2 linked regions of the Kluyveromyces lactis genome follow. The protein of the gene in region 2 purifies or fractionates together with the protein of the main gene of each other region. This does not show direct contact. Links are inferred from orthologs where the notes say so. Each region holds a gene or a part of one and is shown on either strand. Other genes may lie near its edges.

The links. Proteins that work in one complex are often made in the same cells at the same time.
Region 1: the proteins of RPL3 (region 2) and RRP17 purify together in Saccharomyces cerevisiae (affinity purification with mass spectrometry; 3 studies listed by BioGRID). This does not show direct contact. The link is inferred for Kluyveromyces lactis from reciprocal best matches to the Saccharomyces cerevisiae genes RPL3 and RRP17.

Annotation. Positions count from the first base shown.
Region 1 is NC_006037.1:185,023-191,100, reverse strand, and holds RRP17 (rRNA-processing protein RRP17), read left to right. Parts: upstream 1-2,948; coding exon 2,949-3,680; downstream 3,681-6,078. Other genes in the region: carnitine O-acetyltransferase CAT2, read right to left, coding at 1-969; DFM1 (Dfm1p), read right to left, coding at 1,582-2,430; ERD1 (Erd1p), read right to left, coding at 3,727-4,881. UniProt on the Saccharomyces cerevisiae protein: Essential protein involved in ribosomal RNA processing.
Region 2 is NC_006042.1:1,520,941-1,526,824, forward strand, and holds RPL3 (60S ribosomal protein uL3), read left to right. Parts: upstream 1-2,954; coding exon 2,955-4,118; downstream 4,119-5,884. Other genes in the region: KLLA0_F16489g (uncharacterized protein), read right to left, coding at 490-1,278; YNG1 (Yng1p), read right to left, coding at 4,375-5,046. UniProt on the Saccharomyces cerevisiae protein: Component of the ribosome, a large ribonucleoprotein complex responsible for the synthesis of proteins in the cell.

The DNA.
Region 1 (6,078 bases), on a different chromosome or scaffold from region 2:
AGATACTGGTTCTAATTGCAATTGTTGATAAGCGCCAGCCCATTCATCACGAGGAAGAGTTGTCAATGCACCGATTCCAGCGTTTGCATTGATCAAAGAACCCTGTGAACCCAAATGGTTGACAATTTGATTCAACTGTTGGTAGATTACTGCGTTGGACAAGACTGCCCCAGCTTTATCGTGTGTATAAACTTTGAAAAAATTATCCTTGTAGGCAACCGTCAAGTAGCCATGTTCATAGATCGAGTAAAAATGGTTCGTATCGATATTGAATTGAGGAACCCTTGAATTATTGAACATATATTGGAATCCGTTCATACAGAAAGGTTTGCCCTTCACCACTTCTGCTGGCAAGGCTTCATCTTTCAAGGATTCCACGAACTTCACCACACTAGAAATAATCGCCGTGGCCTTAACAAGCATGTCGCCATCGATGGCACGGTGACTAGTTGGTAAAGGCTTATGACCATAAAAATATGACACAAAAGGAACCACAGGTGACCTATCGCCAAGATAAATCTGACTATCCCATAGTTCTTGCATCCAGTTTCTCCGCTCCTGAGAATAACTCAACAACCGCTCCTGCAAAGCAGGGCCTTGGTCTGAAAGAAATGAGTAACATAACTGGATCTGTTTCTCATATTCAGCATCCGTCTGACAAAACGGTTTAATAGACTTCAAATATTTGTCCAAAGTCGATTTCAACTCCGGAATCGGTAAGGATGGCATATCCTGTTGTTTTGAGTAAGTGGCTCCTTTGAACCCAGGTCTCTTCTCCTGATAATACGAATTAGGTCTTTCTGCAATATACTCATCGTTAGTCCCGGTCTCAAAAGGGAACTTCTGATACCCCGAATACTGCATCTTACCAGACATCTGTCTCAATATAGAACTTTTCTTGTTACCTTGACCCATGCGTCTCATCCCCATACTAATACCAGCACTGCTTCTAAATGCCATACTTCTCATCGTCACTGTTGGTGTTGGTATTCACAACGGGTATTTAACTAATAAATAAAATAAATATCACAACAATTGAAACCTTTTATTCTATATCGTGTTCCGCTTTCTTGAGGATGATTTTGGTTGTTTAAACCGGCAAGGAAACCATTTTCGGAACAAACCTATTAAAAGCGAAAGGTGTCCTTAACTTCTGAAATGCAGCTATATATATACTAAATAATACTAGCTCATTTGTACATGGTTTTATTCATAAAAGGCTGAAACTCGAGAAATCCGAATTGCTGATCATTCATTACACAAGAGCCCATTCCGTTATATACGTCCGAACCGAGTGATCATCAACGAACCTGTACCAGTAACTCTCTGCAATCCTGTACCCAAGACGTGCTTCACCTCCACTCTTGGTCCCTGTGGTCATTCGTTTGCTCCAACACTTTTTGATCATCAACTATTTTCTCGCCATAACGGGCTTTTAGGCAGAACCATCATACAAAATCAATTTTCCATTGTCGACATATTTCCATTAAACCTGGGGTAAATAAAATAACACAAATGATATATACACAAGGGAGATGTAGATAATATAGATAACAGTATGTCGGATTATTAGTACCTTAATCAGTCTATTTTGGTCCCTAATCTATTTCCAGTTCCAGCGAAAGTGCTTTTCTTTAACGGGGTTCTCAACCTTCTTCTGGTCACGGGGTCTGTCCTGTTTGATGACGAAACGGGTTTGGAGGTGATGGATAGGACACGTCCTATCCATAGAATGATCGAGGAGAACCATCTTGGTGATCTGAAATGACCTCTTCCAGAGAATCCGTACGCTGGGTCCTTCCCCATCAGATAACCGTACAAGGGACCGTAAGTCCATGTGTCTAGGCAGGAGTAAACGTATCCAGCACAAAACCCGACCATTGTGACGCAAAACCTGCTGTAACCATCGGTCCCGTCATCAAATAAGAACGAAACGAAAAGATGCACTAGCGATAGATATTTACCCAAGATTGGGAATAATCCGTAGAACATTACCTTCACGTTGCTGTTGTCCAGAGTCCACGTATATAGGATCATTCCTATGAATGCGTTAGTGAACACTGGGTATGAGATCTGGCATGCTTCTACGAGCACGACGATCAATGCAAAGTTGAAACATATGTAAAACAAATAATCGATGGATTTGTTGCTGAAGTGCACTAATTCGAGATGTAACGATTTCGAGTATACTGCGTATAGGTCGAAACATGCTTTCATGGCATCGTTTGGTAAGATGAGGAAACTAGTGAACAACCTCCAGATTTGGAACTTGAACAATACACCACGTAAAGACCATTTGAAATCGCTGAAATAGTACGGTAATACGTTCAAGCGTTGGATCAAACATATTAACACCATTAAGAGACATATTCCTCGGGTCACCGGTGGAATTTGTCCTACAAACTGTATCAATTCGTTACGCATAGTCATGGCTGCTATGAATAATCACGCGTATCGTATATCCCACTGATGTTACTGAATGGTACCTCCGGTGTCTATCTTGACAGCGCATCTGTATAGTGAGTATAAATATCTTTCTTTCACTGCAACTTGGAACTGAAATTTCATAGAACCCGAAAATTAAAGCTATGGGAAAGACATAGATAGGAAAGCACAGAATGACAGAAATTGAATAGTTAAGTAATGATCCTCTACACAGGTATACGCCTAGATTTGTTTTCTACTTAGTGCATGGCAGAGCATATGAATTGGTCTAGATAAATTAGGTCAGGACGGCTAGATTGCCCTTATGCAATCATGTTATAGTTATCTATGTATTTCTTTCTGTATCTCGAAGTTTCAATATTTGGAAAAAGCATTAAAACGGAAAAACTTGCTGATGCGATGAGCTGAAGAAAGCAGATAGGCTTTTCACTTACTGAGGTGGTGCTGAGACCGGTTCAAGTTCTGCAGAAGATACAGAGTAGCAGTGTGGATATAGAGTGAAAATGGTGGCAAAGAGTAATCGTGAGATTCTTACCGGTGGTAAATCTTACAAGCAGAAAGCTGCTAAGAAATTCGGTGCTGATGAGGTAAAGTTCGATAAGGACTCACGGTTGGAATACTTAACTGGGTTCCATAAGAGAAAGCTTGATAGACAAAAGAAAGCCAAGGAGTTCATCCAAGAGCAAGAGAGAAAAGCTAGGCTCGAGGAAAGGGCCAAGATCAGAGCAGATAAAAAAAAGGCTCTTGAGAAACAGCTTGAAGATTTTAAACAGGCGATGAAAGATGTCGGTGATTATGTCGGTGTAGAGGACGACGACGAAGAAGCCGAAAATGGGAAACAGGGAAGCGATGAAGAGGCTGAAGAATGGACGGGATTTTCCGATGATAACGGAGATGCAACTGAAGAAGAAGAAGAGGATTCTGACTCTGTTAGTGTGAAACCGATCTTAAAGAAATATGTACAGACTTACTTAGATGATACTACGGTAGACATCGAACCCTTAGAGCCCAATGACAATTTTGAGTACCTTGCGGAATTAAATAATGTGAAGTTAGAGAAATCGGAACAAATTTTAGATCAAAGCATCGAACGTGCGAAGAAATATGCAAAGTTTTTGGGAGTTGAAGAAAAATCTGGTAATAAGAGTAAAAAGAATAAGAAGTTCAGATACTTGACCAAGAACGAGAGAAGACAAAATCAAAGAAAGGCCAACAATAATAAACGTAGGAAGTAATTAACCTTTTTTTTTTATTTATTATCTTCCTCTCTTTCTAAACATCTCATTCATCCATTTTCCCCCCCTCTGTTGTTGCAATGTATTCTACCTCGACTTTAAAGAATAACCAAATCCATCTTCTGATTATCTCTAAAATTTGTAACCAAAAGATGTTTAATTCCCCATAAAATACAGAGTGCCCACTGATATACTCCCAGAACCATACGAATCTCAAAATAAAATCGAGCGCCATAGCGCTATAATACCACGCATTTTTCCGGTACAACAAAATGCTTCTTAAAAGACCGTCCGCTTTGTTACTACTATTATTGTTATTGACACTAGTGTCCCCATTCACAAAATCGAACAGCTCTAGTTTCCAATCCATGGTCACATCCCACCAGAATGAATACGCGGAATTCCAAAACATGAACCAATACATCATTCCAAGTGGGCCCAGGTTGTAATATCTTGTATAGACTGTAACTAGCATGATAGGAATATTACCAGCATACTTAAAAGCATTGAACAATTGTGAACCATCTTTCTTCTGAGACCTTCCTCTTGTAAATTCTCTTAACGATTGAATCATTCTGACCAATGAGGGCAAGACTCCAACAAGTACGTCAATGTTTAACGATATAGCATTTTCATATCTTTCCACTTGACACTTGACGTTTGTTGGATCATGGAAAAGGAAAGTGGCATAAATAGCTAAATCCACCAATGGCTTAGAGTACGAGGTCAAAGTATCACTAATTATAATATAGTTATTCCTATACGGCTTTGGTTCAATGTCAGCTACCCAAAGTATTCTTTTAAAGCACCTTGCGACCATTGCTGATGACCTTAATATCATTGCAAATATGTAAAACAACTCCAGTAGTGGTGAAACATTCAAAAAAAACCAAAGCAATTTGTTGGATACGTTATTAGTGAAGGAGTATTGGAATAAGATTATACATACCAATTGCCACGGTATAATGACTCTAGAGATTGACTTGAACAGTTTCAGGCTTGATTGGTGTATTTTCGTGGATGTGTTAAAGTAAGGTAGTCCCGTGGACTCATTGGATACAATTACTTTGGACACGTCGTAGTAGGATACTGATACCTTCAGGAACCATGTCCATAGCCATAACCCTAATAACACAAGGACAACAACTCTCTGTGGGATCGGTAGGTAAACCAGAAAGGGTTCAACAGATTCGGCGTCCATGAATGCACGTATAAATAAGGAATCAAAAAAATGTAACAAAAAAAGGAGGAATAGAAGCAGAAGAAATCCCTTTCAGAAAGGCCCTGTGTGTATCGCTAACGGTTTAGATTTGTGGTTCACTGTCTCAGAGCTCTGTATAATCTAGGATCCTACGTTTTTAGTCCTAAGATAACACTTTTATTTCTATTGACATCTTTTCAAGACGTGTTTACAATTCAGATACCGGCACCAAAAATAAAAAAACACACACTACCGAAAAGCACAAGTTACAAGTACAAGAATGGAACAGCTAATGCTATATATAAACGTATTCAGGACTGTTAGAGATAACAAAAAGCGTGTTTCTAATCCTTTAAAATTTTGAATTTTATTCATGATTAGCATGGAAACTTTTAGTTCATCATTAATAGGTCTATATATTTAAGATAGAGAATGCCGAGTAATCCACTGACACATCTAACGTACACTTCGACTACCCGAATATATCCGGAAATGAAGAAAGTCAAACAAACAAGAAGATATAACTTGTACTGTATTGCCTGGACAGTTTATTTTAATAAAGTAATCGATTGATCAGAATTTTCAGTGTTTGGCTAATGCTAGTCGAATCGTTCATATTTTCGAAATCCGTTTGGGGCGACAGCGGTCATCATAATCGATATACTCAAAAAAAAAACAATCCAAATGATGGTATTTCCATACAGACAGTCATTATCTTCGTCGTTCCTTTTACTTGTTCATTTCCCGACATGAAGAGGAATTTGATTTCCGTTTGAGTTCAGTAAAAAAGACAGAATACGTTGCGAACAGGAACTCCTGTTCCTGATACACTACAAATCGAATCCTTGTTGGTTATGTCTCTAACTCTAATTAAAAGCTTTGTAACGGATAATAAAGTATTCGTGATGAGATAGAAACTTACCTCAAAATTTTTCACTTTTCCAGTTATTTAAACTAAAAACCATAAAACAGAAAGAATAGTCAATCTAACCATGAGAGACTGGTCTGCCATTAGGGCACAAAATAAGTACACAAAGATTTCCTGAATCACGTGACCAAATATTATATAATCCGGGTAAATTCAGAATACGTTCATAGTGATACTTCTTGCAAAAAATTCCATTTGACGATATTCCTCTGATGGTATTGAAGCTGTTTGAAATTAGAGATCGCTTGAAAGATTTTGATATTAACAAA
Region 2 (5,884 bases):
CTTTCCAATTAAAAGCATGTATACTAATAACATATAATTAATACAACACCTGAAAAAGAGGACAGAAACACATGTCTCTTTTGCTTAAGATTTAAAGAAGATGTAATATTATGATAGTCGTTAATTCATTAAAAAGGATATATAATTAATAGGTGTAATAGCTACCAAACCTGAAAGAAAAGGCTCTTACTAGCGCAGGCGCAGAGAGAGAGACACTACTATAAGTAGGAAAGGAAATAGACCAAAGGAATATGAAACAGGGTGGAAATAGTTACAAAAACCCATGATCGAAACTATTATTGCGGTGAAAGTTCAGTGATGAGAATTGAAAATGCCATTATTATTAGTCTATATTTCTCAATCACAGGGAAAAAAACAATCTTTTGGTATCAAATGCGTAAAGATCCCAGACCTTTGACGGATTTCGTGTAGTATGCTGTGTTAGTGGATGGGATTTTTTAAGAGGTCAGATTTCTTGGGCGAGTCAGATTACAGTTCCATTTCGTAATCTTCATCGTTTTCCTCGTCACTGTCGTGGACATCAAGAATGAAGCAATCCTGCCTCATAATCATTTCGTTGGCCCATGTATCGTTGATGGCACTAGTTCCATCATAAATGACACCACTATGATCGATCTCTCTTGTGCGAACACTATCATCGAACCTTATGTTCTTATTGTTCGAGTGGTGGGAGGGTGGAGAACCGAAGCCAGAAGAATTAGTCTTTACCAAAATAGGCTTGCTATTTTCAAAGATGGATGAAGCATCTGAATTGGTTGGGGAAGAAGAGTAATTGTTATACGATTGAGAATAAGACTCCAAGTCGGAGTCCATGTCCATAGCAGAGAACATAGAATCGGGTGACGATTTCTTCTTAGGAATCAACTGAGTAGCAGCAACACAATCATCCGATAACTGAGGCCCATATAGTACAGTCATATCATTTTCCTTATTCCAGTTAATACGTAAAGGATCGTACTTGTTTTCATTACCGTTCAACTGGAAGTTCTCCATCGACCAACGCCTCCATAGACAATGGTGTAGTCTTTTCAAATAGTAGTTATAATCAGATTCATCTTCCTGGGAACAACTAGGCAACCTGAGCACTTTATGTTTACCGACTTTCAATAAAACTTTCCAAGTCTCACAGATAGCATAAGTTTCTTGGAAATTGTGATGGAAATAATCGATAGCTGGCTTATTCAAATTCGTAACATTATCTAGCAGCAAAAGGTTTTTCCGGATAATAATCGTATCGTCCAAACTATTGGATATCATTGTAAAGGATATGTTAGATGTGAGTCGTTACTATCACCTTGCAGATAAGAAATATATTAGATGGTAGAAGAAGTAAATCAACAAACGGATTAATTGAACAAAGATACACTTATGGTGCTCTTATATATAAAAAAGCCTTCGACCTTTGAACAATAACTACTATTTCTTTTGTAGTTTGTTCAACCGTTATATAATTTACAAATCTTTTCAGAAAGAATATAATATTCAGATAAAGAGACACCAGGAAGCATGGAAAACTCGCAATATATGAATTTCAAGAACCCGGTATTTAACACGCCGGTGCACCGTTTCTTGTGGTCGAACAATTTGGACCGGAAAGGTGAACCCACTCCGATTTATCTAAGGTACCACAGACAATAGAGCTACAATACTATATTTCCAAGCGTGTCAGCAGTGTCAATTCAGAGTCATCCAACTGAGATTCCAACCAGACCCCGGTACTTTTCCCAGTGGTTGGTTACCTGAATCTAAAAGAAAAACAATATGGAGCTTTCACTGTAATTATTTGCAGAAAAAGAGAAAAACAGCCAAAAGAGGTTGCTCGGAAAAGTGGTTCTCCTTTCCGCAGCTAGAATGTGCAGTAGAAAACGGTTATTTTTCCAAAGAATAGTGGGGCGGGAATCCGAAAAAATCATAAAATTGTTTTTTCTTTCTATGGTTCTCTTAGAATCACAAGGGGGGACAAGAAGAAAAACATCTACGAGACCTATGTATTACCCGGGCTGATGCCCGGGTGTGTTTTCTTTTTCTTCGCTTATTGCTTTTCCTTTCGGAAAGATCTGTACGGGGCGACCTGTTGTTTCGATGGGGAGCCAGAAAAGTTTTTCCGACTGGTTGGAGAAGGAGATTTGACAGAAATAAAACAGCTTGAGTATCCAGCTCTAGCGGAGGTGCGCAGTGGGTGTCGTAGGAAGAAGCGGGAAAAACGGCAGTGTTGTTTTTCCGGGATTCGTCTCGTAAGGTTTTTCCGAATGGTGTGAGGAACAACTTGATGGTGAGACTTTTTGGAGATCTCAGTTCGTCACATTACGTAGTGGTAATAAATCGTGTTGATCTGCACACGTCTCTGTTTTTGTTGTTGTCGTTAGTGATTGATAACAGTTGAATGTAGTTTCACTGTGGTTTTCTTCTTTTCCGTGCATTTTTGTTTAATACTTGTTGGCTCCATCGTTGTGTCATTTGTTTACCATTTGAAAAAGATAGGTGCCTCCCGCCGTCATTTCGTCAGGACCAAAGGCGAACCGATAAATGGGGGGTAAACTGCGTTTCAGAGGGGAAAAACAGAAAAAAAAGAACAAGTCACGTGGGCGGATTCTATATGCACTGTTACCCCGTCTTTCTGTGATTTTTGTATTTTTACCTATGGACGTATCTAATGATAGTACTTTCTCCTATTTAAATCACCTTTCACGAACTTTCTCGTCTCTCATCTCCAAGCGATCTTGAAGAAAAAAATTTTTTTCACATCTCATCGCATCGAAGCTTGGACTATTTAAAAAACATGAAAAAATCAAGTGAAAAATTTTTAATAGTTCTTCATCTCATCATATGTAAAGTTGAAAGTGTTTAATGGTATCTACTTTGTTTATTTCCCTTCCCCATCGCAAAACTCTAGAACGGTAACCACAGCTCTAGCTAGTTAATATTAATACACAATGTCTCACAGAAAGTACGAAGCTCCACGTCACGGTCATTTAGGTTTCTTGCCAAGAAAGAGAGCTGCCTCTGTTAGAGGTAGAGTTAAGTCTTTCCCAAAGGACGACCAAACTAAGCCAGTTGCTTTGACCTCTTTCTTGGGTTACAAGGCTGGTATGTCCACTATCGTTAGAGACTTGGACAGACCAGGTTCCAAGTTCCACAAGCGTGAAGTTGTTGAAGCTGTTACCGTTGTTGACACCCCACCAATCGTTGTTGTCGGTGTTGTTGGTTACGTTGAAACCCCAAGAGGTTTGAGATCCTTGACCACCGTCTGGGCTGAACATTTGTCCGACGAAGTCAAGAGAAGATTCTACAAGAACTGGTACAAGTCCAAGAAGAAGGCTTTCACCAAGTACTCTGCTAAGTACGCTGAAAACGGTGCCCAAGTCGACAGAGAATTGGCCAGAATCAAGAAGTACGCTTCTGTTGTTAGAGTCTTGGTCCACACCCAAGTCAGAAAGACTCCATTGTCTCAAAAGAAGGCTCATTTGGCTGAAATCCAATTGAACGGTGGTTCTGTCTCTGACAAGGTTGACTGGGCTAAGGAACACTTCGAAAAGACCGTTGCCGTTGACTCTGTCTTCGAACAAAACGAAATGATCGATGTCGTTGCCGTTACCAAGGGTCACGGTTTCGAAGGTGTTACCCACAGATGGGGTACCAAGAAGCTTCCAAGAAAGACCCACAGAGGTTTGAGAAAGGTTGCTTGTATCGGTGCTTGGCATCCAGCCCACGTTATGTGGTCCGTTGCTAGAGCTGGTCAAAGAGGTTACCACCACAGAACCTCTATTAACCACAAGGTCTACAGAGTTGGTAAGGGTGACGACGAAGCTAACGCCGCTACCGAATTCGACAGAACCAAGAAGACCATCACCCCAATGGGTGGTTTCGTCCACTACGGTGCTATCAACAATGATTTCGTTATCTTGAAGGGTTCTATCCCAGGTACCAGAAAGAGAGTTGTTACTTTAAGAAAGTCCTTGTACACCAACACCTCCAGAAAGGCCTTGGAAGAAGTTACCTTGAAGTGGATCGACACTGCTTCTAAGTTCGGTAAGGGTAGATTCCAAACCCCAGCTGAAAAGCACGCTTTCTTGGGTACTTTGAAGAAGGACTTATAAACTCCTCAACTCTAATAGAGTCGAATTGAGTAAAAAGCTTTGCATGCTGTAATTTTATAGACTAGTTTTGGAGTACTCAAGAAAGTGTTTACACTTTCTTTCACTATCCCATCGGCTGGTTCATAATATTTCCTGTTGTTTTGACAACTATCTTTAAATATGAAAATATTAGCATTTGAATAAATAATAATTACACGCGCTTCCTTCTTGCAAGTTATTTTTCTGGAGAAGCACTGAAGAGCCTCCGCGGTCTTCATCAACGCTTTCTTCTCTTGCTCTTTTTCCGATGATTGGAGTACTGTTTCCTACACATGTCACTACAAAACCATTTCTCATTGGGTTTGGGTGCGGCTGATAATCCTACACAGGGGTAATGGAACCATTCGATGGCACAAGATTCATTATCACAAGCAACCATGGGTCCATACGACACATCTCTACAGAAACAGTACGTCTCTGTCTCTGGCTTGTGCGTCTTATCATGATTCACATGTTCTTGCTGAATCAGTTTCTGTTCCCTTTCTGCCTCTGGGTACCTTGATTTCATAGTGATCTTAATCTTGATCGGTTTGTGATGAGGCAAAGGTTTCAATTTCGGTTGTTTCTTCAAGTGACTATCGTACCTTGCCTTAATCTGAGAGAATCGCTCCAATTCTTGTTTTTCAAAATTGAGCCGTGAATGTTCTTGCCGTACTAACTCTAAGAGATGTTGCGCTTGTCGCAGCATCTCTTCTGAATGACATCCATCTCTATTAGTATCACCTATATCCAATGATTGTATAGTCCAGAGGGTGCGAATCACATCGCATGGTAAATGGTCCAGTGTACTGAGAAACCCGTACCTAACATCTTCCATTGTTCTTGAGCTGTTTCCTTCTAGCCGATTAACTAAGACCAGAATGGTCAATTCTATTCTAGGCGTTAGCATGTACTTACTCTTTCTTGAATGGCTTTTGCCATATGGATATGAATGGAAAGACGTTTTACGTTTTCCCAGAAGGAAAACATTCACGTGACAAGTCCCAGTCACGTGAATGACATTGATGTTTTTGGGATATGGAGTTCTGACCAATCACATCGAAGAACGTGCCGTCTTCTCATAAACCTCCGCACATATGGATATTTTCCCGTACTTAGTGACTTTTCGTCGGGAATATCGCCCTTAACACGCATCCTCCAGTGCGCTTAGGATAGAAAACCTTCAGAAAAACATCGCTTTCGAAAAATAAAAAAAAATACTTTAAACATAATCAATCACAAACAATTATCATTGGATTGGACAGAAAACTTAGCAGAGAAATGCTCACAGACAGCGAAAGGGAAAAAAAAAAACGGCTTGAAAATTTTGGGAATCGATTTTTTCTCTATGTAAAAAGCGATATAATGAAAAATATCTACAAAAATATAGTATATAATTCTTTTCAAACTAGAGAAAACTTTTTGGAAACGATATACATAGATTATTTATATATACGTTTAGTTGGTTATAGTATTAACCAGGGATTTAGTTTGCGCTGATCGATCAATCAATTCAACGGATTTGATTTAATATTTATTTTTGAAAAGAACGGAATAAAAGAAGCCTGCGTCTTTTAAATTTTTGTCCTTTACCTAACTGTCTATTTGTTCGTCTTTCTGGTACAGATATTAAGAAAAGAATAATAATACATTCTCAGGATATTATCCATTGTCTGTGTGATACGAATATAAATTCAAGAATATCAGCTTTGATTCATACAAATAGTTGTTAGAATATCAAAATTCGG